Linked DNA regions of Caenorhabditis elegans. Each later gene encodes a partner of the first gene's protein in a complex. Each region holds a gene or a part of one and is shown on either strand. Other genes may lie near its edges.

Region 1 (9,752 bases):
AATCAATTTACTACATATAAAGCGCGTGTCGTTCCGTCACTATGTAGTTTGATCTCTGATCAGAGCAACGAAATTTTGGGAAACCTTATGCTAAATGCGCAGCAGACATCGATCGAGGTCCGCGATAGACATCGTATATCTAATGTGTTTTCTCAAAAAAGTCGTGGGCCGCGCCGTAGGTGCGATCCACGGCTGGTTGGAGTATATCCAGCTAAATTCTCTAGTTTTGTCAACTTTTTTTCTGTTTCAGCGATTTTTTGTAATTTTTTTAAGATTTTAAATTAATAAATTGTTCATTCTGGAACCAAAATGCAGTTTTTAACAAAAAAAACCCACAGAAAATTGGCTGAGTTCGAGAAAACTCGATGGAAAATGCTCGAAACAACCGAAAGTCGTCTTCTTTTTCCATTGAGTTTTCTAGAATTTCACCAATTTTTAATTTAATTGTTTTTTGTTAAAAACTGCATTTTGGTTCCAAAAATAACAATTTACTAATTTGAAATTAATCGAGAACTGAAACAAGGAAAAGTTGACAAAATTAGAGAATTTAGCTGGATTAGGCTACTTTTGGGACCATTTTGAGTATTTCATATCGATTTTTTTAAACAAACCCTCTATGAGTGGCCAAATCAAATGCAACTGAAAGTCCTTGCTGCCCTGCTTTAATATTCTCCTTATAGAACTTATTCGACTCTTCAACAGTCGAAAATCCAGCGTATTGTCTGATAGTCCATGGCCGTTGAGTATACATTGTTGGATATGGTCCTCTAGTGAATGGGAATTGACCGGGAAGTTCAACAGATCTTTGAGCATCACAATCTCTATCAGATCTCAAATAAAGTGGCTTGATTGGAATTCCTTCAGGGGTATTCCATGTCAAAGTGTCCGCTTCACGGCCTTTCATCGCCTTTTTTGCCATGGCAGCCCATTTTTGATCGATTGGGGAGCGGGTGTAAGCTCCGGAAGAAGATGGACGGGTTGAGCATCGGAGAAGTGTGGGTTTCAGTAGTTGAAGATACATCTTGCCTTTGTGGAAAGGCAGTGATGATCTGGAAATTGATATTATCGAAGGAAATAATATAAAAACTCAAGAAGACAATCATGAGAGAACGTTTTGCAAAATTGATTTATGTTTTCGAAACTAAAACTAACAAAAATAAAAACTAATTTTTGTGTCACAAGTCCTTCGATGTGACCAAAAAACCGATCACTGCTGTCGAGTTTTGTCAAAAACAACGAAATCGCTGTGGAACAGATAGGCCAGAGAAAGAAAATGTGAAATTTGAAAAGATCTAATCGTTTGGCACGTATTGAGCTAGAAGAATGAAAAAAAAATGATTTGTTAATTTGAAAAATCCTTCAGTTTTGACTTTCAGCTTTTAAAAATCCAGTGAAACTGAAATTAAATAGATTATGAATTGTGTTTTTTTTTTCAACAATTATACGCCCTAATCTAGAAACTACTTCGAAAAACTTATTATTTTTTTAAATTCTAATTTAGAAAGCAAAAAATAAAACAATAAAGACCTTGTAGTCGCCGTCAATCTCTTGACAGATCGTAAACAAGCGCAAAAATGAAGATGGGCGGTTTTTTAATTGAAATTTTAAACAATAATATTAGAGAACTTTCGAATTATTTAAGTAAAACTGAAAATTATCGAAAAGAAACATTGATTTAGCATAAAAAGCCGCAGAGGACACTCGGGGAACAACAACTGACTCTGTGTCTGCGTGCAAAACTGAAAGTAGCATTTATCTCTGCGCTCTCTCATTTTTGTGCGTATTTAAGAAAAGTCTAGTCACTTCTCTATCTTTCTTTTTTCAATCCTACAATTCACGTCAAAAAAAACTTGTTTATTCTTTGAAGGAGGGTCAGATATTTGATTATTGTAGTCTCTAGCGTTTTTAAGTGGTAAATACTAAATTTTAAATCGGTTGATATGCAAAAAATAAATTAATCAGGCTTAATAACAGTTGTCAAACCACTTCGGGTCAAATACTTGAAACTTTTCGAACTTTTGGGAATCTTCTAAACTGAAAAATTGAAAATCCACACGGTAAATAGGATAAAAAGAATTCCAATTTTAAACGAAAAAATTTAAAGAAATTAAAAGAAATAAAAAATTGTCGTCAAGTTGAATGCTTTCTGTGCACTTGGATGCAAACACCAAGCTCCTCACTTTACGCGCAATTTTTTTTCCTTTTTATAATTTAAAAATATTATTTAACATGTCTTCTCAGATAGTTATGGCTAATATCAGTTTCAACCAAAAATTAAAAAGACAAAAAATTAATTTTTCAGATTTTTTTCATATAAAATTAATATTACATGAAAAATTCGAACAAGATAGTTCAAAAATAAAAGCACCATTGAAAATTGGAAATAGTACAAGAAGTGTGTGAGTTGTTGGTCGGTGTTAAGAGGGACAAAAGGCAATGAAAGATGAATATAAAGCAAGTCAATATATAGAGAAGGAAGAAAAAAATCCGTATTTAGAATGGGGTAAAAGCAGTGTGATGAACAATTGATGAAGGAAAAAAAAACAAAAAAATGGAGATTTTTTGAATAAAACAAAGAAGAATGTGACAATTTATCGCTAAATACTCGTTTCGAGTTGTTTGGATGGAGAAATTGAGCTTTCATATTAGAAAATTTGGGAAAATTATTAAAATATAAGGATAAAAACTATTTAGTTGGCTTTTCCAGCGTATACTGGATTTTTAAATGTTGTCGTGGCCTGTTTGTAGATTGGGTTCTCGTTCTGAAAAATGATAATTTGATAAATTTATATGTTTTTTGTTCCGTGTCACTTACCGTATCCCATTTGGCCATAAGCCTTTCGTTATTGAAAGTAGCGTATTCGGATCTATCATGAAGTACTGTGAGCAATTTCCAGAGCAACAAGAGAAGAATTCCGAGGATTACGATACCCGCAATGACTCCGAGCACAATTGCGAGCACAGGGACAGGTGGAGGACAATCTTTATGTTTTCTGACCCAGACTGTTGCATTATCTGTGGCCTCATCGTAATAGTAGAGATAATAGAATGTACAATCATCAGCTGGATCCACAAATTGGCAGGGTGTAGTTTCGTTGAGATCTGGAAATTTTAAAATTTCAAAATTTCAAGTTTTTTAATCGAGAAAAAAGGTTTAGAGAATTAGCAAAATTGCAATATTTACGTTTTAAGTATTATACACATTTTAAGGCAAAATCCATTATTTTCAGAAAAAATGTTTCTATTTTCCTGAAAATCAAGATTAAACGTTTAGAAAATTAACAAAAAGTGTAATATTTTAACAAATCAAATCAAATTTCCATTTAAAAAAAGAAGAAAAATGGGCAAAATTCCAAGCTATTTTTCGATAAATCAAAAGTTTTAGTTTTCCAATATTTCGAAAAAATATTTTAATATCTTTTTTTCTTTAAATTTTCCGATCAAACGTGTTTTTTTTTCAGAAATAAAATTTTCAAAAGTTTCTGACATTTAAAAAATTGATTTTCTGCTTTATCAGTATATTTTTTTAACTTACTGGGTAATTCCTCAACAGGAATAACTTTGAATTCACACTGATCACAGGCGGTCTCATTAAGTGGCCCTGTCTGCCATTGCTGGCACATTACACAATTCTTGTATTCCACACATTTCGTCGGACACGTCGGACAAATTTCGCATTTCGCTCCCGAATATCGATTTCCGTCGGGCGAATCGAAGCATCGACATCTTCCACAAATACATTCACCCTTTCCATTACAGATTTTTCCATTTGCAGAGAGGCATGAATCAGTTGAAATTGGGCATTCACAGGCTCTTCCAGTCCATCCAGGTGCACAAATACACTTTCCACAGTTGCATTCACCGTGTTCTGCACAGATTTTACGATCGTGTCGTGGGCAATTGAAGTTGTCGCATTCACAGAATTCTCCAGAGATTTGTTCTTCTGGATTGGCACGTGGATTACATTCACAACGTCCACAGTTACACACACCACGACCCTCACAGATTGCTGATTCGTTAGTTCTGGAAATTAGATCATTAGAATTTTTAAAAAAGAAAAAACGGAAAACAAAAATAGCTTAAATTTTTTAGCATTTTTGATAAACAATTTAATTTTTGTTAATTTTCTAACTTTTTTTCCAATTTTTTTGATTTTCTCTGAATTTTTTTAAAAAATGTAAGAAAGCAAAAATTATTTTCTAAATTTTCGAGCAAAAGTTTAAACTTCTGATTAGGCAACGACCTTTTTTTCGGAGTTTTTCCGGCAAATTTAAATGGATTTTCTCGTTTTTTCTTGTGATTCCATCGAAGGCGTCAAATTTTATCCAAAAAACCGAGAAAATTCAGTTGAAATTTTTAAAAAGAAAAAACTACAGAAAATCAATTTATTTGGAAATTTTCAAGGAATTTCAAAATTTTGTGATCTTAATTTTTATTCCAATCAATTTTCGATTAGTATTCCAGCCATAGAAGTTTTATAGCTTTTTTTTCGATTAAAATTTTTTTAATACTGCTCGGCCAATATATTTTTTAAAATTATTTCTCACATAATTTTCATGTTAAATTTTAAAAAAAACCATACCTTTTGCATTTTTCATTGAGCGCAGCAGTACTCATTCCAGGTCTATTACATTCACAATATTTTCCAACATTTCCTCCTTTGCATCGACAAACTCCACAAACCATATCTCCTCCGTTACAATCAGCCGAATTCGTCACAATTCTGTCTTGACGTTCACAATCACAATCGCATAAAACTTTAACATTAACGATAAGTGTCTCATCCAATCCAGATGGTCCGATACGGAGAACAAAATCACGTTTATCGATACAATGAGTATTTTCAAGGGTTACTTCGAATTGAACTTCATCTCCAACACGAATTCCCTCACAAACATTGGTATCTTTCAGTGTGGTTCCGCTGAAAAATTACGGTTATTTATAGGGTCAAATTTTAGAATAAAATTGTAATAATTTTAATAGTTTCGCTCCAAAATTGTGCTTTTTTTTAGTTTAAAACAATTTTATGTGAAGACTTTTTCGTCTAGAAACGTGAGAATTTAAGAGAGCTCAATTTTTCGATTCAAATTACTTTTTTTTTAATTTCGAGAAAAATGAATATTGAAAATTGCACGGCGAGGGCAATATTGTAGATATTTTACAATTATTTATATTGTTTTATGTAAAAGCGGATGAATCTGAAGGTTTCAACACCGAATTAACAGATTTTCACCTGAAATACCATAAATAAAAATTATATTACCAATTTTGAATGTTAAATACAAAAAAAGTAACAAAATAATCCAAAATCAGAATTTCAGCCAAAAACGCTTCTTCTCGTGGAGTACACGAAGCCTGCGTAAATCTACATGATCGAGGTCTTTCTCAATCTGTTTCTACAGCGTTTTTTTGTTTTTTTTTTAATTTTCAAAAGTTCCCAACTTTCATTTAAATTGAATATTATTCAAAAAACTCACTCCAAACACATAGATCTGTAAGTGAGCTTGAGTCCTTCTGAAGCATTTGCATTATCAACCATAATGATCTTTTCACTAATTTTCAAATATTCCTTCTCAATCAAATCGACAATATTTCTTGAATCATTAGCCAAAACTCCAACCGACGATGAAACATCTGGGAGTGCATTCGACAATTGTGTATACAAATCCTGATTGTTCTTTGTAACAGCAAAAATGACATTTGCCTTACGATCCTTGATCATTTGATGAAGAAGTGCAATTGATGGATAATCTTGATTAAGTGTTTCAGTATAATATCCTTCTCTATCTAAATGACATGTTCCATCATTTGGTTCGACGACACCTGCCAATCTTCCGTCTCCAGCGAAATGGAATCCAGCGTCAGTTGAGAAAACGATCATTTTACGAGCACGTTCACGCCACCCAATGGTTTTCTGAAATATTGATTTTTAGATTTTAAGCTTTCCCGATATCTCAAAAATGTTGATTTGATTCTTTTTGAATTTTTCTTTTAAATCAAATAACCACTTACATTACAAGCCAACGCCTGAACAACAGCATCGAAACCTCCTTCCGGAGCATCCAAATTTCCAGAAATTTCAGCTTTATCAACTTCAGCCTTGAACTTTGCCGTGTTCGTCGTCAATGACATTTGATGCTTGAATCCATATGGTTCTGCACATGGTGTTGGACACGGAGATAATTGTTTTTCGATTCGTGGATCGATGAATGGCATAAGTTTCTTGTCAATGAATGAACCGAATCCTAATCGGAAATTCTTTGTGACAGTTCTCATTCGTTCGGCGAGCAAGTCTCCGAGTTCGGACAGTTTCTGTTTGTCATCCTTCATGGAATATGAGAGATCCATCAAATAGTACAAGTCAACTGGATAATCAACGGCTTGACGGTAGGTCACATTGAAACGAACACGGGATTCTGAAAAAAAAACATTTAGATTGTTGTTGATATTGAAGAACTGGATTTAGAGAAAAATCTTGTGATTTTACAAGTTTTCGAGTCGCAGCGGTCACTAATTAATTTTTATTTTATAATCACCCTGAATTGCAAATTTTAGAAGTTTATCATTAATTCGTTGATTTAGGCATATTTTAAGCCCAAAAATCTCTTAAAATCCAAAAATAGTCAAACGAGCCTAAAATGTGTAAATCAACGAATTATGATAATAATAATAAATTACTTCACTTAATTGTATATTACAGGAGCTTTTTAAGATAAAAATTAAATAAAAAAGAGGCTGAAAATAACCAAAACCGGAAATATTTTAACTTTCCGCAAAAAAAATGCAGTACGATTTTTTTTTCAGTGTTTTTGAGACAATTTTCAAATGTGATTTTCAGCGGTTTTTGTTGTGAAAAATCAATGAAAAACATTTCTTTAATTAGTGCAAATTTTTCCTGAAAATTTAAGACTACGAAATTACCCTGAAATCTTCGTTTTTTTTGCTGAAACCCCAAAAAATTTTTTGTATTTTATTGATTATTTTCATCGAGTTTTTAAACGAATTATCTTTGAAAACCATATAAAAAACTTACTGGGCCGAATTTCGACGTACATCTCCTGTGGTTTGATCTGAACGGCTTCTTCCTCAGATTCAACTTGTCCTTGATCGGAGAGTTTACTGTCTTCAGTGATATCCAATTTTGTGGCCGGATCCTCGATATAACTGTTTGGACATCCATGTTCCATGAGCTTGGCACGGCTATCACAACGGGCATATGGCTTCTTCTCGTCGAACATCTGGAATTTTTTTTATTAAATAAAATAAATTCATGGTCTCAAGCATTTAACATACCGGTGCTCCACACCACGCGCAAGATTCATGATATTGAATGCACGCTGAGCATGTGTAATTGTCACGTGACAGACTGTAGCATGGGAATTCTGATTTTTCGACGACTTTTCCAGTGACTTCTCCAGTCTTCCAATCGCTTGCTGGTAAAGCGAATGGAAGAAGTGCTGCGAGGAGCAGCAATGATGTTGAAGGTGGCATTTGATGCCGGGTAGGTTCAACTGAAAAATTAATTAATTGGCTTTTAGTACATTGAGAACGGAGTAATTAGAAAAAAAAACGGTGAGATTAAAAAATGGTGTATTTATAAGAAAAATTGATGATGAAACTCTACAGAAACCTGATATCAAACTGCTTTCAACAGGTGGCAACTTTCATACAACTTTTGAAATTTTTAAAGCTCTCCAAAAAAGTTAGATTTTTTGAAAAAAATATTTTGATATAAAAATCAAGAATATCATACTAAAAATGGCACATCCCCAATTCATAATTTCTTCAGTGAAGAAAAAGTTATAATATAAAAGTTATACAATAAAAAATATATAGGAAATTTTGAAAGAAAATGACTTCTTGAAATATTAGTCACCATAGTAGGAAAATTTATTGTTTACTCAACAAACGGAGTGAATGCGGGAAGTATAACGGAGTCATGTTCTTTTTGTTAGAAAATTACATAGTTTTCGGGGGAAAATATAAAAAAACTTGCAGCGAGGAATATTGGAGTTCAGACAACTCGGATTTGAGAAAAATCGGTCGTGTCGAGACCGGGTACAGTATTTTCGGGAAACAATAACTTAATTCGGTATCTGCAGGCACACATGTGTAATGTATGAAATTTGAGATTTCGGGATAAAACTTCATCCGTTTAACATTTTTGGAAGTTATGCACATAACTTTTCAAACCTTAAAAATCGATAAAAGTATCAACTACGTCCACCGATCACCTCTTTTCGGAACGTGGGCGGATCTGCCAAGTGCTTCGACAGGAGCATCTCTCGCCTTCTCTCTCTTCACAACTGCCATCAACCCAGCAGCAGAATGCTCTTCGAAGAGATAGTGTAGGCGATAGAGTGCTCTATGTTGGCCGGGAGAGGGGCTCGGACCAAAGTGTAACGAGAGTTACACCTGCTTGTATCGTCGAAGAAACAAAGAAGACGAAGGGAAGAAAACCAAAGGGAAATGGGTGAAAAGGCGTTAGAATCGGGAGCTTCTAGAGACATCAGAGACCGATGAAATTGCGAAATTCACAGGAGGGGGTTTGATGTGGTGAGGAAAGGGATTTTTCGATAGTTTCAATATCGTTAGTTTGGTTCAAAAGTGGGAGTGGATTCTCATTTTGGAAGACATTCAAACAGGGATATTAGCTGAAACTAAAAAAAAGGATTTCACATTCTAGATCGACATTTTCCTTCTTTTTTTTGTGGTTTAATGAAATTTCTGACTATTTTGGGTATTTTTAAGCTTCCCGCTATTCCAAAAATGTTTAAACTCATTGCTGAACATCAAAACTGTTCCTGGTAAACTAGTTTAGGTGAAACTTTGAAGATAACTATAATTCTTGCTCTTACAGCTTATGAATGCACCTAGTAATTATTAAAATGTCAAAGTATAATTAATTTTAAAATGGCTGTCAAAAGTTATCATACAACGATATAACAATTTAGACATTGTGAAAAACGACGATTTCAACACTTAAATAACGAAAAGAGTAGAAAATAATAGCGTCTGAGTCATTCTTGTTCTAAATTTCCCACGCCCACCGTCTCCCGTCTCCAATCCATCAAATCGATAACAATCTGATAGGAACTAATTCAAAATCCAAACTGAATTGAAATTGAAATTGGGAGGAACAAAACGAAGAAGGGAACCAAGGGATGACAAGTAGTAAGACATCTGGTGCATACATATACTAGTATCCTCTGTCTCTATGTCTCTCTGTGTTCGTATTGCCCTTGTGTGTTTAATCATAGCACTAGCCCGGAATAAAAGAGCATTGAATCTGTGGAGAGACAGACACAATGAGAAGAGGGGTCGACTGTTGGTACTTTTGTTAGCAGGAGGGGAATCTACAGAGAAAAGAAGCAGTTAAACGGAGTGTGGACAGCAGCAGTCAGGATATATGGAGATCGATGATTATTGTGGGTGATGATGGGCGGCGGAAGAACAAATTAAAACAAAGTTTTCTCCCGAAAAAATACCGTTTTTCGTAGGCATGTGGAGATATTCAGCATTCAAAATTATGAAAGATGCCGAAAAAGAGGAATATTCTCTCTGGGGATATATCATCACTCAGGCAGAGCAACTTTTGATGGCCCGACACCATCAAAAAGAGGATGAAATGTAGTTTTTTGGGGAATTCTTGAATGAGAAAAGAGCTGAACTACAAAATAAAGACAGTGCAGCATGTTCTCATAATATTTTTCATTAAAATAAAATGATAAAATTTAGAAAAATAGAAAAAC
Region 2 (6,583 bases), on another chromosome or scaffold:
ATCTTCCACGATCTGCAAGCGGATACTTTGAACCGCCGCCAGAAGCATCCCACATGAATTTCTCTTATGAGGAGGCGATACTCAATCGTCAAGCTCAAGCTTTACACCAACAGCAACTTTTGCAACAACTTCAGAAGCTTCCACAACAACATCCACAGAAAGAAGTTGCTGGAGAACACAAGCTGAGCCCTCCGACTGGTGGTGTTCTGCGTCAAACTGCAACGCAGAGAAGTATATATGAAAATGTAACAACGGGTGATGCACCTTCGCAACCACAATCATTAATCATTCCTCAATCCCCGTCCGCAAAAAATAAAATGGCTCGAACTGAGTTCTTCACGCAGACTCCATCAAATGTGGTTTCCAAAACTATAATGGCTGCATCCAGTGATGGACAGAGTATTCAAAGCCTAGGAAGTACCGATTCAAATGCGACAGTAAGAGTTGAAGATGAGATGCGGAAAAAGTTCGTTGCAAGATTTGGAGTACGGAAGGCGCCAATAGCACGAGAAGAAGATCCAGCAGATCCGAAGCATGGAAAAGTGATGGGAAGTCAAGAAAGCATGAACTCTACAGATTCGAGGGAGTCCGTCGTTTCGGCGGCTTCAATTAAAGCGGAAGCATTGGCTCGCCGAAATTTCAACTACTAGTTATACTTGCATCTTCTTCTCCGCTTTCCGCTTCTTTCTGCACATCACAGTGAGTTTGAGCACATTTTTTTCAAAAAAAGGAACTTATTTGGAAAATTTCTCCAGTCAGTTTAAAATACTAAATTTAGTTTCAAAAATAAGTTCCTATTGTTATTACGTTATTCAATTCAATTACGTTTCCAATTGTAAATTTTTCAGCACTTCTGATCCGATAGGCAAGCCGATCAAGGAACGGTATAACTTTAACGAAATGGACCGTAATCTTTCCGCACTGGTCAAACCACTTTGGGCAGGAAATGAAAAAGAAGATCGTGCTGAAAAAGACGATAGTACATCATCTTGATCTGCTCCGGCTCCCCTCCCTGTCTGTGTGATTCTTTTTGTTTCTTTCAATTTTATCCTATTATTCCAATTCAACGCTGATGCATTACTATTGTTGTCATATTTCATTTCTGTCATTTTTTAATCAAATGTGCTGAACATTAAAAATTATCTGATCTCTTGAATCCCTTGTCTTGTTTTATGAATAAAAGTAATATATCAAAAAAAAAAGTCGAATGGAACTGCTGAAAGTGCTCCTTTTAGTGCGCATGATATTTTTCACACATATTTTTTTTGAAACGGTTTTGATCCGTGTCCAGTATCCATATTTGATTTTTTTAAAAGAAATTTTAAAAAGTTTGTGTAGACAATTCAATGTTTAGTTTTCCCTTTCAAGCTAGTTTTCACTAACAGGAAGATGCTATAAAACTATGAAACGAAAAACTTCAAGAAAAGGAAATTGAAAAATTGTGATCTACACAAATATTTTTCTAACATTTTCAAATGTGGATGATGAACACCAGACATTCGTGGCAACTGTAGACCAACTATTTTATAAAATGAGCCAGTTTGGCATGTGCTCACAAACTTTTTTATGGAAATTCAGAATATGGAAAACTACTTACTTTCTCTGAAAATAAGATTTTTTTAGTTGGGAAAATAGGACATTTTTGAAAGATTTTTCATTTGATGTTTTAACTTTCGGATTAATTGTGAGCACTTTTTAAATTGTTCCAACTGAAATTAAAAATATTTTTAGACAAGCTAAAGATTTTTCGATATCACTGAGTTTCAATTAAAAAATTTTGAGAACATGCCACACTGGTTCATTTTGTAGAAACTCACTTTGAAACTTATAGATTTGTGTAATAAAATACTCAGTTTAGAATTTATACACTGCTCCGAAAAAAGTCGGTCCAAAAACCTCTGTTATCGGTTTACGATCTTCTAGAAAAAGCGGTGGTATTTCTCAACACTGCGCACAGCTGTTTGGCAGGTGGAGGCATTTCTACTGGCAGAGGACCTCATTCTATAATGTCATCATTTCAAAGTTAGTCATTGTTTTCAAGCTACAATTTCTGGATTTTTGTCATCCTGATATATGATACTAGCTCATGATCAAGGCCAGTCGTAAGAATATAAAAACACAAACGAAGGTCAGATACTGAACATTTATCTGCCAACATTTGCGGGGTTCGTACTTTTCAACCATGTCTTTTGATTTCTCATATCTAAACTGATGATCCTTTCTTATTCTCACAACTGTCTATAAACATGTGTTAGAAAAAGCTTGTTCCTGCCTGTTCCGAGTATCAACGAGCAGCAATACTTGGCTATTAATGTGACCCTACGCACGCAACCCGATTGTATGCGTCTCTTCGAATCGCGCACTCTTCCCGGAGTCGTTACGTCTGCGGCCGTAGTCTGTGACCCCCCGCTTGGCTGTCGGCCAACCCGCCGCGCGCGCATTGCCTCTCGCTTTCTTCCACTCTTTTTAGTTGTACATTCTGCGCACTTTCTTTTTGCCCAGTAAATGCCCATATCACTGTGTGAGGAAAGTTGATTTTCAACAACTATTATCATTTTTAAGGTGTTGTTTATAACTATTACTATGTTTAAATATAATTCAAAACTTTATAGTTTAGCCGTATAGAAGTTGTATTGAATTTTTGGTTTCATTTTTACAACTAGTTTTATTTTTAAATGCAAACACCACAAAAGAAGCATTGTTGCTTTCCTCCGTTGCATCTCAAAACATCTGGTGTAATACATGTATCACATTTTGAAGCGTGAAATGTGCCGCTTCACTGAATTTTGTTATGTAGAGTAGTACATAGAAAGTCAAAAAAAAATCGAAATAACTAGTTCGAATTTTTTCCCATTTAAACACACGATATCCCAACCGATGTTTCTGAAGAATCTTTTTTCTGTTCCCAATCAATACTGATCATCAACACATCGGATACACGTCTCCCTCTGTGAGTTAGTCAGGGAAGCTGAGGCATCCTGTTGAATCTGTTGTGCAGCAGCACTCACACACATACTTTTGTTGTTCACTTATATCTCTATCTCTTGGTTCGTTTTCATTCTTTACACAAAATGCAATGGCAAAAGCTTCCACGCCACCGCCTCCGAGTTCTTCTTACACATATGTCAACCCGTCGCATCCTATACCTTTGGCACATTTGCCTCTTCCTTGAGGATTTCTTCTTTTCTACTGTTTCACAGCCCCCTCGTATAATACCTCCAGTGTTTTTACGATTCTTAGAATATGGAAATTTCTGTGTTTATGCAAAAATTTACTTTGCATATAACAAAATGTAGATATGAAATTCTGACTTTTTGTGCTCTTTTCGATTAACCAACATACCTAACCTATACACACTATATGCTTTCTCCGGCTTTCCCTTGTTTGTACATATTTGTCTTCATATTACTCGCTCGCTTTCTTTTCTTCTTTCCTACCCCCACCTTTTTCCTTACAAACCCATGGTCGTTAAACCATCCTGTGTGCATAGTGGCCAACTTTCAGTGGTTCAATAATAGATGGTGTGTGGCGGAATGGATTCCGACCACAACCATATCAACGGGGATCTCGCCCATGGCTTCGAGAACATGGTGTGCGTCCGTTGTAATGATGGTTTTTCGATGCAAGATCAGATGGTGAACTCTTCCGGGCAAGTATGGCATTCGGAGTGTTTTGTGTAAGTTTTTATAAGTTAGAATTAAGAGAACTCAAAAATTGCAAAAAAATTTTTAGATGTGCTCAATGCTTTGAGCCATTCCCAGACGGCATCTACTTTGAGTATGAAGGACGAAAGTACTGCGAGCATGACTTCCATGTTCTGTTCTCACCATGTTGTGGAAAATGCAGTAAGTATCTTTGAGAAGACACGCAGAGCCATAAATGTTTTATATTCTAGACGAGTTCATCGTTGGACGAGTGATTAAAGCAATGAATGCCAGCTGGCATCCGGGATGTTTCTGTTGTGAGATTTGCAATAAACAGTTGGCCGATGTCGGATTTTTACGGAACGCTGGACGGTAAGTTGGAGAGCGTAAACGAAGCTCGAAAGAATTTCAATTTTCAGAGCTCTCTGTCGCGAATGTAACGAACGGGAAAAGGCAGCAGGTCATGGACGATATGTGTGCCACAAATGCCACGCAATGATTGATGATGGACAACACATCAAATTCCGTGGAGATTCATTCCATCCTTATCACTTTAAGTGCAAACGTTGCAAGTAAGAATTTATCTTGTTTTACAGTATGAGTTGAATTTAAAAAATTTTCAGCAATGAATTAACGACAGCTTCTCGTGAAGTAAACGGAGAGCTCTACTGTCTCAGATGCCACGATACCATGGGTATCCCAATTTGTGGAGCATGTCACAGGCCGATTGAAGAGCGTGTCATCGCGGCACTCGGCAAGCACTGGCACGTGGAGCACTTTGTCTGTTCCGTCTGTGAGAAGCCATTCTTGGGACATCGTCACTACGAGAGAAAGGGACTTCCATATTGCGAACAGCACTTCCACAAGGTACTTGAAATATGAACAAGCAAACATTAATAAGTTTGTTGCAGTTATTCGGAAATCTTTGTTTCAAATGCGGAGATCCATGTTGCGGGGAAGTATTCCAAGCTCTTCAGAAAACGTGGTGTGTCAAATGTTTCTCCTGCAGTTTTTGTGATAAGAAACTTGATCAGAAGTGAGTGCAAAACTATTCATATGAACTTGATGAAAACAAATTAATGTATGCATTGCAGAACGAAATTCTATGAATTCGATATGAAACCAACATGCAAACGATGTTACGATCGGTTCCCCACAGAATTGAAAAAGCGCATCTCAGAAAGCTTAAAGGACCGCGACGTTGAAAATCAAAGAAGATCGATGAGTCCTGGACCAAAATAATAAAAAAGAAAGAAATAAAGGAGTCCCCGTAATTCATCAATTTCCATTAAAGAAGTAATACTTTCCAAATGCCATTGCTCATTTCTCTTTCCCATTGTTTTTAATACCTTGGTGCTAAAAAAAAACATCGTGAAAATTGTTATCAATCCGTTTTGTCTTTTAAATGCCTTATATTTCAAAACTATTTTTCGGTCACACAAAAATGTCATTGTACTCATTTCTAGCTCCATAATTGTCCTTCCCCTTCCCTTTCCCAGCTACTTTTTGATTCAGAAGCCTTCTGAAAACAATCATAACTTTCGACCAAATTTTTTGTGTTCCTATCCGCAAAAACTTTGCATCTTTTCTCGGGTGTCATTATTGCATAACTTGATTTCTGAATTTTTGTACTATTTTTTTGTTCAGAAAAAAAATATTGACTGTATTGAAACAAAATCGTATTGTAATATTGAATCCTTTTTTTCGGCATCAACAATCAATTTGTAATCAGTGATCAACAGGAAGGTGAGTCCATAGCGCCCGGAGAGATATTTTTGGTTCAACTTGAAACGTGTTAAGTGAGAATTATACTTTCCAGTGTCAAAATGTTTGTGAAATTTCTAAAAATACGAATGAGCCAGTAGAAATGATCGTATTGCACTTGAAATTCTCTTGGGAATTTATTTGTTGAAGCTTCAAAATGTGAAAGAAAAATTGGGCTATTCCAACAAAAAACGACTTTCATCGTTTTTTTGCTCAGCAAACTCTGTTTGATCATTTTACATAAAGATGAAATAGAGTCGATGATTTTTTTTTAAATTCAAAATGACAAAAAAAATTCAGTTTCCAAGAAGTTAATTTCGTTAAAAAATAAATTTTCAATTATCGATTATTTGAAGAATTTCCAACAAAATTCTTCTTTTTTATCAATTTTTTTTTTGGTTTTTTTTTGTGGAAAAGTCTAAAATTTTGTAAGATTCTGTTATTACTCAAAAATCACAAAAAAGGACAAAAAACTGACACAACTGTAAAAAACAAACATATCAAAATTAGGTAATTTAGTTACGCGGGTATGGGAAAATAATTCAATACTTTCTATTTTTTTTTGTTGCAAAATTTAACAATTAATTAAAAAATTCAGAAAAATTCAATGATTTTTTAAACTGTTGTGCTTATTATAGTGCAACTTTTTTCCAGTCATTGAGACCAAAGAATCCATAGATGTTATTCCATCTTTTTCCAAATTTTATTTATTGACAAATATCTAATTAGTTTAAAAATCTAAAATCAAACCTCAATTTACGGTAACTTTATTGAAAACTTGAAGCATGAGCAAGTTTAACAAAAATTTCAAATATTGACCCAATAATTACACATATTATGACCCATATGATTAACAAGTTGATCAATTGATAAAACTGATAAATAATGATCTATGTATTCTAAGGCACAATCTTTTCTGGCGGCATACTTTTCTCGCAATCAAAAAACATTTTATGATTTTTAATTAATTCGTGAGCAGAATCCAGCGCATCTTGAATGGAGGGATACATTTGATTTCTTCCAATATTCCCTTCTCCAATCAGGCCAGCATTTCCATATTGTCGTCGGAGTGATGCTGAAATATCCCAGCTAAGGTTATAATTGTTTAAAAATTTTAAACTCACACTTCAGATTTGCAAACAACAGGAGTATACGAATTTGTCGTAATTCTTCAT
Region 3 (10,332 bases), 4.9 Mb from region 1:
ACCGCATTGCAGAAATATCCAAAGGGAACTGATGAAAGGTTAGCTTGGAAACTAGAAATGGGTATTTTGAAATTGAGAACGCTCATCCTCCAAGCGTTGGGTTTCGTTAGGTATTGACGGTAAAATTTCTGGGTCCCCATAATATAATATCCAGAGGAATGTTTTAAATATTAAATTTCAGGTGGGAAAGAATCTCCGAAGAAATTGGAAGCAAAACGAAGAAACAAGTGATGGTCAGATTCAAGCAATTGGCTGAGATGATTCGAAAAAAGAAAACCAATGATACCTAGTTTTGTCATAATATTTATTCCGTTTTTTTGTTGGTCGGGTTTGATGAAATTCCAAAATTTATTGTTTTAGACGCGTTTTAAATATTTATTTATTTATTAAATTTTTATTAATAAATTGATGATAATAAAAGAAAAAACATCAAAAATATCGACTAGAAACATGTCAATGTATTGGTAATTAATTGGAAAACAAAGAAACATAATATGAACATATAAAGCACCAAATTGAGCGGAGATTCCGAAAAACGATCGAACATGAAAGTAAGATTGGGGGGCAAGGCACGACAAGAGGACTAAATTGGGACCAAAATGATAATTTTAAAAAGACACCCGCAGATGTGAATAGTAAAGAATAAGGAACAAAAAATGGAAAATATTATAGCATTTGTCCGTGACGTCCCTGATTGTACTGATCTTGTGATGTATAACGGGATTGACTATCAGCGTATTGAGCATTTGGTTGACGGTCGGCACGGAGTTCTGCATGCTCAGTTGGTGGACGATTACGTTTGAAGAAACCACACTGAAAATTAGATTATTATTATTTATTTTCTGAGGGAAACTGTAAATTTGTTTCGAAATTGGTTGTATACTGTAGTCGCTCTGATCTACCTATATTCTACAGTACCCCCGACGTAAGCTCGCCGTGGACGTTGCTGTGAAATTTTCGAAAGCGTGTGAGCACAGCTTTAATGTCGTAGGCAACTTCTTTTAAATTCAGTTTTTCTTAATCTTTGTGACAATCATTTTTTACCTTTCGAAAATGGCAGAGTTTGAACCATAAACTTTTCTCGCGGCGAGGCCCATCCGAATAAATCAATGAGGCTTTGAGAAACCGCTTCACAAAATTGGAAATTAAGATATAATTTTTGCTGCGTCACAAGTAAGCATGAAAGTTGGCGAAAGAACTTTAATTTAACTTGCAAGCCAATATCTATGTTGTTATGTAATAAATCGTATTTTTGAAAATTAAATTTGAAACTCACCCTCCAGAGCAGTAAAATAAGAAGAATCAAAATGGCAAGTCCAATAAGAATAGCCAAAAGATAAAGCCACCAAGGAAGATCTCTTCCTTCTTCAGAAGCAATTGCATTCATATTTGTAGATACTGCTGTTATCAATGTTGGCTTATGTGGAAGATTGTATTTAGTAGATGTGACACGAGCAAGAGCCAACGATGAAATGTCTCCTCCAGGATTTTTCTCATCAACCAATGTGTTTGTGTATAATCTAGAGAAGATTTCCACAAGTACAAACTCGTCTTCTTTAAGATCATAAATATCACATTCAATATGTGTACATCTCAATGAATTACAATCAACAGATGCTCTTGATAGTGGTCCCTTATAATCAACAACTCCTCCAGCTTCCTTCGAAAGTTTAACAGCTTCACGAAGATCAGAGAATCTAGCCTTATCACTTCTTGGTTCACCACGGTGTTCTCCTCCCTTCTTCTTCTTCTTTGGTGTTGGATTTCTTTTAACTCTCTTACTTCCAGCTCTATCAAAATCTTCATCATCTTCCTCTTCAAAATCATCTCCATCATATTCCTGATCGTCTGGAATATATTCATAATCTCCCTTCTTCTTTTTATCCTCAACATATTGCCAATTTCCAGTATTCTGACGAATCTTCTCCTCGTCTTTTTCGTATACATGTACTGGACCAGATTGATGATGAGTTTGATGTTGTGTAGATTGATGACGTGTTGATTGGGATTGAGTTGTTGTTTCATCTTCATATGATTCATCATCTTCTTCTCTTGAATATTCATTTGGTGTCTTGGCAACTGGTGGTTCAGTTGGAACATGCTCATTTGTTATCTGAAATTTTAATTCGTTTTTAATGTGCGACAGTAATTTTTTGTGAACATTTATAAAATAAGATGTTCAGGATTCTGAATTGAAAAAAGTGAAGTTTGTCAGCCCGAACCGGAAAATCAATTTTTTTTGTGATATTTCAGCATATTCGATTGTTTCCAATATTTTTTTTTAACTCGCCGATTCTAAACATTTCAGAAACTGACGAAAACAATTCTTCAAAATTTCCCAAGAAATTTGAATTTTATCCTAAAAATGATAAAGTTTCTTACTTCTATTTCTAAAACAAAATAGTTCCTTCCGTATTTCACTGCAATTTTAAATGTACAGAGTTATAAAATTCAGTGTCTACAGAAATTGGGGATTTGCAACGACTATGAGATCGTGGCAAGACCCACTCAGAAAAACAGCGTGTACCTTTAAAGTAATGTCTAGAAATTTAAAAATTATTCAAACGTACCCTCAAATTCAATGGATTAACATTTTGCAGTTGTTTGACCCGACATCTTCCTTTATTTGGTGGATTAACAACTGGTTCTGTGATAATGTACAGAAGATGACCTCCTTCAGTGGAAAATGATGGCCAGAAGATATCCAAAGTAGCTGAGTCAACCTCAGATGGACCACGATTACTGATTTGATAAAGATGTGAAACAACTGGACCAATTTCATTGTCATCGAAAGCATCTACACGTGTTTTGTTCGTCATTGAGAAATCGACTTGTTCGGGATTTGATCTACCATTCAAACTCAATTGATTCTTAAAATCAACTGGAATAGTGAATGTGACTTTATTATCAGCAACAGTATGAGCTTCTTCATCATTACTACTGTTCACATGAGCATTAATACTGATTGGAGCAAGTGGAGGTTTATCAGAAGAAGCAGTCACTCTTACAACACTACTAACTACTTTGTTAGCTGGAAGTGGATTGCCGAGATCACATGCAAAAGTCCATTTTCCATCCGAATCTGGTTCATCGGAAGTTGGAGAACAAGCTGGAGCAGACTTGCTTCCATCTCCACCAACACTTTCAATTCCACCGTATTCGAATCCTTGTGGAACATCGAAATAAAGTTTTGTCTCATATGAATCTTCTCCTCCATTTTGAACTGTTACATTGATAAGCATTGTATTGTCTTGAGTTCCCAAAAGGAATTTCTCACGATCACTGAAAAAATATGTTTAAAAGAATTTAATTGCTGGCATTTGGTTTATAGGTTTAGGAATAATTATTTTAATGATATGATTTCACTGAAAATTTCGCCGATTCCGTGAAGAAAAGAAACATACAATCTTCGTGGAATTATTTTGACAGGAAAATCCTGAAGCAAACATTTTAAAAATGGCTGTGAACTTGTCTCATTATAAAAAATGTTTTGAAAATTGTCGAGTTAGGTTACATTGTATTTTGTGTTATATTCAATTTTTCTCGCTCATTTCCTTATATTTTTTTGAAAATTTTAAAATTAGAGTAATGATTAAAACATTTCGAGACAAACCCATTTTTTCAATAATTTTTCAAACTTACTGTAATGAGGATTTTCAATGTTTCCCTTTCTTTTATATTCAATGAAAAAATGGCATATTTAATGTATTTTTTCAACACTTTTTATCGATCATTTTGAAAATTAAAAAAACTTACGCAACAGCGGTAACCTTCAAATCAGGAACACAAAGATCATCTTTTCCACAATTATTTGCAATATTAATCTTATTTTGGAATGAAAGTGGTACAGTTGTGTCAATTGCTGGTTCAAGCTTATCACCACGAAGTTTTCCGGTTTTTGATTCAACATATGTGTAGTTGACGGACCAATGAATTGGGGAGAGCTTGTCTCTGAAATTATTTTATTTTTGATTTTTAGAAAACATTTTATTTTCTAATTTGAAGGTTTGCAAAGCATACGAACTATTTTACATTCAAAAATTAGCCTTGAACTTTTTTTCACAGCAGAGCAAACATTTTCTCAATTTTTTCTGATAAAAAAATTTAAAAAGTTGTGGTCATTTTGAGTTGAAAAACTTTGAAAGAAAATCAAAATATTTTCTCTGAAAACTCACTTCATTGTGGAAGAAGCAAAGAATCGATGTCTGAAACACTTTTGTCGTCCCTTCTCAAGACGAACACGTTGTTCGATTGAAGATGGATGGTCTCTTGTTTTAGATCCTTGTGCAACTTTAATGCTTCTGTCAGATTTCTGAAATATTATTATTGTGTTAAAAATTTTTATCTAGTTTTAAAAAAGTGACCTACCACATCTTTTTGCAAGAAATAAGCTCTTGGTTCAGGAGAATGATCATCAAGATTGAATCGAAGATCAAATTCCAAATCATTTGGTGTATCTCCTTTTCCTTCATATTTGAAACATGTATTAATATGTTTGCATGCCTGTTTTCCCAATTTTCCATCAACATCGCAATTCTTATCTTCTACACTGATCAATGCACTCTCTGGTTCAGTTTGTCCCGTGACAGTGACAACTGGTTTTGTGAGTAAAACAGCTGCATTTCCAGATTTCCATGCTCCAACTGCAATGTCTGGCATTCCATTTCCATCAACATCTTCGTTTCCAGTAAGGGAGAAGCCAAATGATTTGATATTTCCATGACCAATATTGGCTCCTTCGATCTTCTGAGTTGGTAGTTCGCGAACACCATCTTTGGATCCGTGGATCACATAAACAGCTCCTTGTTTGTTTTTTCCAGCATATGGTGCACCAACAATTACATCTGAAAAACACTATTTTGTAATTTAAAATTTCCAACAAAAAATGCAATAAATTTCCATAGCGGTTCAAATGAGATTGAAAGTTCAAAATGCCGCACAAATTTCCGATAATCTAGGATTTTTTATGTCTAAAGAAATTGTTAAATTAAGAAAAAGAAAAGTGAAAATACGAAAACTAAATTTGAATTTCCGCGTAAAATAATTTCTGTGAGAAATTCAAATTCGTTCATTTTTAGTAGCAAAATCCCTACCATTATAACCATCCAAATTCAAGTCTCCAGCTGCTGCGACTGCGTGTCCAAATCGTCCCCACTGATCATCTCCAACAACTGCAATCTGTTTTCCAAAGACTCCTGGAGCAGTTTGAAGCATCACAATGACCTTTCCGACATCGTATTGTGGTTTTCTTTCTTGTGTTTTTGCGTCTTTCACGCTACCGTAATCTGTGTAGAATGGGCAGCCCATGATAATGTCGTCGCGTCTGAAATTAATACAGAGAATATTTAGAGAATTGTAATTTTATGTGTTTGTGAATCTCACTTACCCATCTTTATTTACATCAGCAACTGCAACAGATCCTCCACAATATTGTCCATGTTGAGTTGACACCTCATCAGTCAAATTGATCATCATCTTCAGTTTCGACGTGTATAACACCAATTTTCCGTGCAAATCGTTTCCACGTGGAACTCCGGCAACAATATCATCAATACCATCTCCATCAAAATCTCCAGTTGCTGTAGAATATCCCATCATATCGTGATCGTATTCCTTGCTACCGTACTCGGTATTCGGGCGGTCTGTCTGATTTTTGATGTTCTGTGAGAACATTGCTCCTTGCCAATACCACACACCGGGGGCTCCAATAAAAACACGATTTTGATTCTTCTTTCCTGGAACTGCAGCCGAGAATCCGCACTGACCGTATCCAAGACGATGACGACCGTGGCGAGCAGCTGTAATTTTTCATCTAATTTTTTATAAAGTTACCAATTGTTCGAACTCTGAACTATTCCAAAAGGTTCAACAATTTTCAGATTTTTTTCAGGAGCCTCTAGAAGTTTCTAGAATTTTCCAAAAAAATCTCAAAATTTTAAGACGTTTTTAACAGTGTCTTGAGGGTTGCAGAAACTTTTCAAACTATTAAAATATTCCTGCAATTCCTCAAAATTTTCAGAAGTTTCTAGAACTTCCCAGAACTTTCTTTTCTCGAACTCCTTTTTCCAAAACTACAGTACCCCTGCAGTACCAATTAAGTATCCCCAAAACATACGTTCTTGTTTGCACGATGAAAACTCCTCCGCATTATCAAATCCATTTTCAGCATAGAAACAGGTTCCAACTGGCTCAATAACTTCGAATTTTGAGTAGAAATATGTGTATTTTGGAGCACACACCTGGAAATTTAATTTTTAATTTTCAAACTCCGCAGAATAAACCTACCACAATTTTATCATGCTTATCATTTGATCGAACAGTTGCACCAAAGAATTGATGTGATTTTTCTTCAATTGGAACAAGATGTGATCCATTGAGTTTCTTCAAGTTTCCCTTCATTTTATCCACGTGGACTTCTCGGCATGTTGCCCGGTTCACGGAGCAAGCATAAACTGCTCCAGGTCTTCGGATTCCAGCCAGGTTTGGGTTATTGCTTTCAGCTTCAGGGGCACCGACAACGAGGCTGAAATTTTTGAATGTAAAATCTGTTCAGTTAATTCAATAACTTACACAGGCATTCCCTTCTGCTCATGGTAAAAATCGAGTGAGTATCCAAAGTAGTTACCAGCCATGTGATGAACCACTACATTTTTTGTGTCGATGTTGAAGGTGGCAACTCCGGCTAAAAGGCCCAGTAAGCCTAGAAGCAAGCCGATCCTTCGCGGAAAACTACCCTCTCGCATCTACTGGAAATTTGGAATTCGGTTTTTTGAAAACAATCAGAAAGAAGTTTGCAACGAGTATACGGAAGATGAAACGATTTTAGAAGTTGATTGAATAGAAAAAAAATTTCAAAATCTCAAATTCAAAAGTTCCAAGAAATATTTTTGAAAGGGAAAATAAAGAACTTTGCTTGAATTTTAATTTTGGAACGTTTTTCATGTCTAAATGAATTAAATTCAAAGTAGCGACCAATTTCACTGAGATAATTTCAAATTCTCAGTTAACATGTGGATCAATGAAGCCTAATCGGTGTCTTTTCCAAAAACCGGAAGGAAGGAAAAATGGAATTGAACAGAGCACACGCGATTGCGAAACAAAGAACTGACCCTCCGAAGACGACAAGTCATTTATAATTGAGAAGGGAGCTCTACGAGCATTTGACACACTCACATTGAGTCATGAACATATCAAGAAATGAATTGAACGAACAGGAGAAGTGAGCGAACGGAAATTAACGGGGGAACAAAATGACCCGTGACACGTGGAGCAAGATTGATGAAGAAGCAAAGTAAGGAGCAATTCGAATTTTGCATAAATCTCAATATTTGTTGTGTATTGAGCGAGAGCCAACAACAATATTTTCTCAAATGCTCAATTGAACTATTTCAAAATGTTTTGACTGTTGAAAGTTGTTTGCTGGAACCTCTAGCTTTTGAGTTGTACTCATTCGAAAATCTTTAAAATTACCGGAGAACCCTCAAAATATTCAGAATATTGGCTGGACTACGAGTTAAAAATCAGAAATTCGAAGTTTGTGAAAAACGTACAAAAAGGAAATTCCGAAACAAAACTGGCATCTGGAGACTCATAGTTATCCCATGAATTTCCGAAAAATACGATGAGTCAAGAGTCGTTTGAAATAGAGAAGGGAGGAAGGGACACATAGTTTCTTCAGTTTCCGGATAGTTATCAAACATATGTCTAATGGTGAGAGAGTGTGAGAGACGAAGAGACGTAGACATTGATGGAAGCATGAATTGAGGATGAAATTGGGAGGATGGAAGGGGGCGGAGGAAGAGGCACCACTTATTTGGGGACACGAGAAGCAATTAGTTTGGAATCAAGTAGATATGCAGTTACTATTTTTGAAACACCAAAGAGATTTTCTAATATTTTGAAAAACTTGCAAAATTATTATAATAGTAGACGTTCAATCTGACCAGACCAAAATTTGATAATTGAATTCAATTTTTGAACCTACTTGGAATATCAGGGAAACTTCCTGCCAAAATTCGACAATAAGTTGCCACAGATTTTAAAGTTTTTAAAGTTTCAGTTTTCACAGTGAAATCTAGTTAATTCAAGTACATAAATATTGTGGTCAAAAACGTATTGCACCAATACTAATAGAACAAATACGGCACTTTCTCCAATATTTGTAGTATGTGTTTTAAAAATCACGCCTACTTGAAGCCCATCAGTATACGAACAACATTTTATATATTGGTGAAAAGTTCATGTAATAGAGAGTATTGGGATGTGGGCATGAAGTAATTGTCAGTAGAATCCAAGATATGGTTGACTGGTGACTGTTCCCTCTCCGACAAAAAGGTCATGTTTTGAATAGAGAGGAACAAGTGATAAATTGAGGGAACGGGGGGAGGATGAATTAATTGGGTGGTTAGGAGGAAAATGAATTTTTGGAAAAAAAAGATGTCGACAAGATTTAAGGGAAGTTAAATTAGGAGGTAGGTTTTGAAAAAAGAATCTTAAATTGATGGGTCATTTGTGAAAAGTAACGTTGACTAACTAAGCAACAAAAAAATCATAATCCCTTCTATAAAGATTAATAATCTTCATAATAGCTTTTCAACTAATACATGGTGAACATTACCGTTTCATTACAACCTAAAACAATTAAATATTTATTACCGATCATTCTTTTTGATTGTCAAGAATTGCAATCATAGGAAAGTCGAACATTTATAGAATTCAAATCGGCGACGCACAAAGGTATCAATGTTAAAACCAAGCATTTTACTATTATAATAAAGTACTTAATTGTGCGAATTATACGATCTTAGTCAATAAAACAATTTCCAGAAATTTCATTTCCAAATCCAGGAATAATAAATCAAAGAATCCCAAGAGCAGGTGGTGCAGGTGCTCATGGAGCACACTTTTTGAAGAAAGAATAGGGGTCTCGCCGTTGGTAGTGAATTCTCAATGATGCATTCGAGCGAGAACAATTTTTTTTGTTGAAAGAAGAATGTGAGACATTCGGTGAGACAGAGAATATTCAGAGTGTCGAAAATGAACAATATACTCTTTGCAGGAAAATTACTGAAGAAGCTGGGTGTTGGAATTTTTTAGATGGATTTATAATTTAGTATAGAAATGCCAAATTTTTGTCTGAAATCAGATAAGAGCTTGGTTTTTACACAATATTTTATTTGATTTTTGAAAAACATTTGATGATTACTTGATACTTTTTAATTCAGAAAACAGCGGGATAGCCTATTATTATTGGAAAAAAATGTCAAGAAGGGTTTGAATAATAGACGTAAATAAGGGCCTACGAAGAACCTTAAAACTTCAAGTTTTACGTATGATTTCTTCACTCAGAACTGAGCAAATTATGTTGTCGATTTATGTTGAGAACTGTTCGATTGTACAGTCCTCTAAAAAGATTCTCCTAAATAATTTTTTAAAAAGCTTTAATCCCCTGAGAAAAAAATCTACGAAGCTACGGTTACTGTAGCTATTGTGTTTTTTTTTTAAATAATGAGTTCCCACTTTTTGAGATTTCACAACTCGATATGCAAAATTGTAGAAAAATTCAATGAGATCAATATCAAAAATCATAAAAAGAAGAGAAAACGGAAAGTTGAGAGACTGGATAAAGTGCTCTACGGGACGACGGCACACGGGGGAGGATGCGAGATGGCAGGAGCAGCAGAAGAAGAAGCAGTTGCCTTCTTTACATCGTTGATATTCTGCCTGCTCATACTCTCTCGCATTGCTACACACTGTTTATTGGGCTCTCTTCCCGAGGGCTCTTCGACTCGGCAGATCACTTGGATGACCGCGATGCTCTAACACCAGACGCCTACGTTCCCTCTTACCATCTCTCTTTCTTTTTTTCTCTTCTTAGATCGTAGAGACGTTGGATCAACCGGGGAAAGTATATGAGAAAAGGGACCCCTGTGTGTTTTCCCGACGTTTTCGATTTCGAAACACCTTTTGAACAAGAAATTGTACAATTTTGACAATGCGGAACTTAGAAACAGGGTTAAGAGTTGTTGTAGAGAAAGTAACTAATAATAAAACATTCGGAATTAAAGAGCAACAATGTTCGACAGAAAGTTGAGAAAAACTGTCAAAAAGTTCTCAAAGCTAGATAGAACGTTGCAAAAGCTTAACAGTAAGCTTTATAAAGTGCTACTCACTATCAGATCTCGTTGACATGAAAAAGGAGGAAGTTGGCATGGTATGCTACTAGGTTTTCGAAAAACAAATAATTTTTTAAAAACAAATACCATTCACTTTGCAAAACTAAATAATTCGATAAATCTACAGTTCCTTCAGCAACTCGATTGTTTGCAAAAA

The links. Proteins that work in one complex are often made in the same cells at the same time.
Region 2: pat-3 (region 1) and unc-97 share a complex: the UniProt entries of both Caenorhabditis elegans proteins name them as parts of the integrin containing attachment complex.
Region 3: pat-3 (region 1) and pat-2 share a complex: the UniProt entries of both Caenorhabditis elegans proteins name them as parts of the integrin containing attachment complex.

Annotation. Positions count from the first base shown.
Region 1 is NC_003281.10:3,906,639-3,916,390, forward strand, and holds pat-3 (Integrin beta pat-3), read right to left. Parts: upstream 7,512-9,752; 5' UTR 7,492-7,511; coding exon 7,294-7,491; intron 7,239-7,293; coding exon 7,034-7,238; intron 6,417-7,033; coding exon 6,013-6,416; intron 5,915-6,012; coding exon 5,478-5,914; intron 4,922-5,477; coding exon 4,583-4,921; intron 4,024-4,582; coding exon 3,536-4,023; intron 3,103-3,535; coding exon 2,816-3,102; intron 2,763-2,815; coding exon 2,691-2,762; 3' UTR 2,293-2,690; downstream 1-2,292. Other genes in the region: mmcm-1 (putative methylmalonyl-CoA mutase, mitochondrial), read right to left, coding at 612-1,021. UniProt on the Caenorhabditis elegans protein: Integrin alpha ina-1/beta pat-3 is a receptor for laminin. Integrin alpha pat-2/beta pat-3 recognizes the sequence R-G-D in its ligands. Plays a role in cell migration, morphogenesis and probably in cell-cell interactions.
Region 2 is NC_003284.9:5,589,629-5,596,211, forward strand, and holds unc-97 (LIM domain-containing protein unc-97), read left to right. Parts: upstream 1-3,504; 5' UTR 3,505-3,533; coding exon 3,534-3,676; intron 3,677-3,732; coding exon 3,733-3,845; intron 3,846-3,895; coding exon 3,896-4,016; intron 4,017-4,063; coding exon 4,064-4,216; intron 4,217-4,267; coding exon 4,268-4,511; intron 4,512-4,555; coding exon 4,556-4,680; intron 4,681-4,738; coding exon 4,739-4,886; 3' UTR 4,887-5,337; downstream 5,338-6,583. Other genes in the region: mec-2 (Band 7 domain-containing protein), read left to right, coding at 1-650; sulp-2 (STAS domain-containing protein), read right to left, coding at 6,308-6,483, 6,533-6,583. UniProt on the Caenorhabditis elegans protein: Component of an integrin containing attachment complex, which is required for muscle development and maintenance. Probably function in adherens junction.
Region 3 is NC_003281.10:8,815,313-8,825,644, reverse strand, and holds pat-2 (Integrin alpha pat-2), read right to left. Parts: upstream 6,747-10,332; 5' UTR 6,744-6,746; coding exon 6,571-6,743; intron 6,524-6,570; coding exon 6,286-6,523; intron 6,240-6,285; coding exon 6,116-6,239; intron 5,799-6,115; coding exon 5,387-5,798; intron 5,324-5,386; coding exon 5,094-5,323; intron 4,845-5,093; coding exon 4,369-4,844; intron 4,313-4,368; coding exon 4,176-4,312; intron 4,084-4,175; exon of another isoform or gene 3,992-4,083; intron 3,952-3,991; coding exon 3,757-3,951; intron 3,283-3,756; coding exon 2,571-3,282; intron 2,114-2,570; coding exon 1,277-2,113; intron 814-1,276; coding exon 667-813; 3' UTR 371-666; downstream 1-370. Other genes in the region: F54F2.9 (DnaJ homolog subfamily C member 1), read left to right, coding at 1-38, 182-290. UniProt on the Caenorhabditis elegans protein: Required for muscle development probably through the regulation of the actin-myosin cytoskeleton. Component of an integrin containing attachment complex, which is required for muscle maintenance.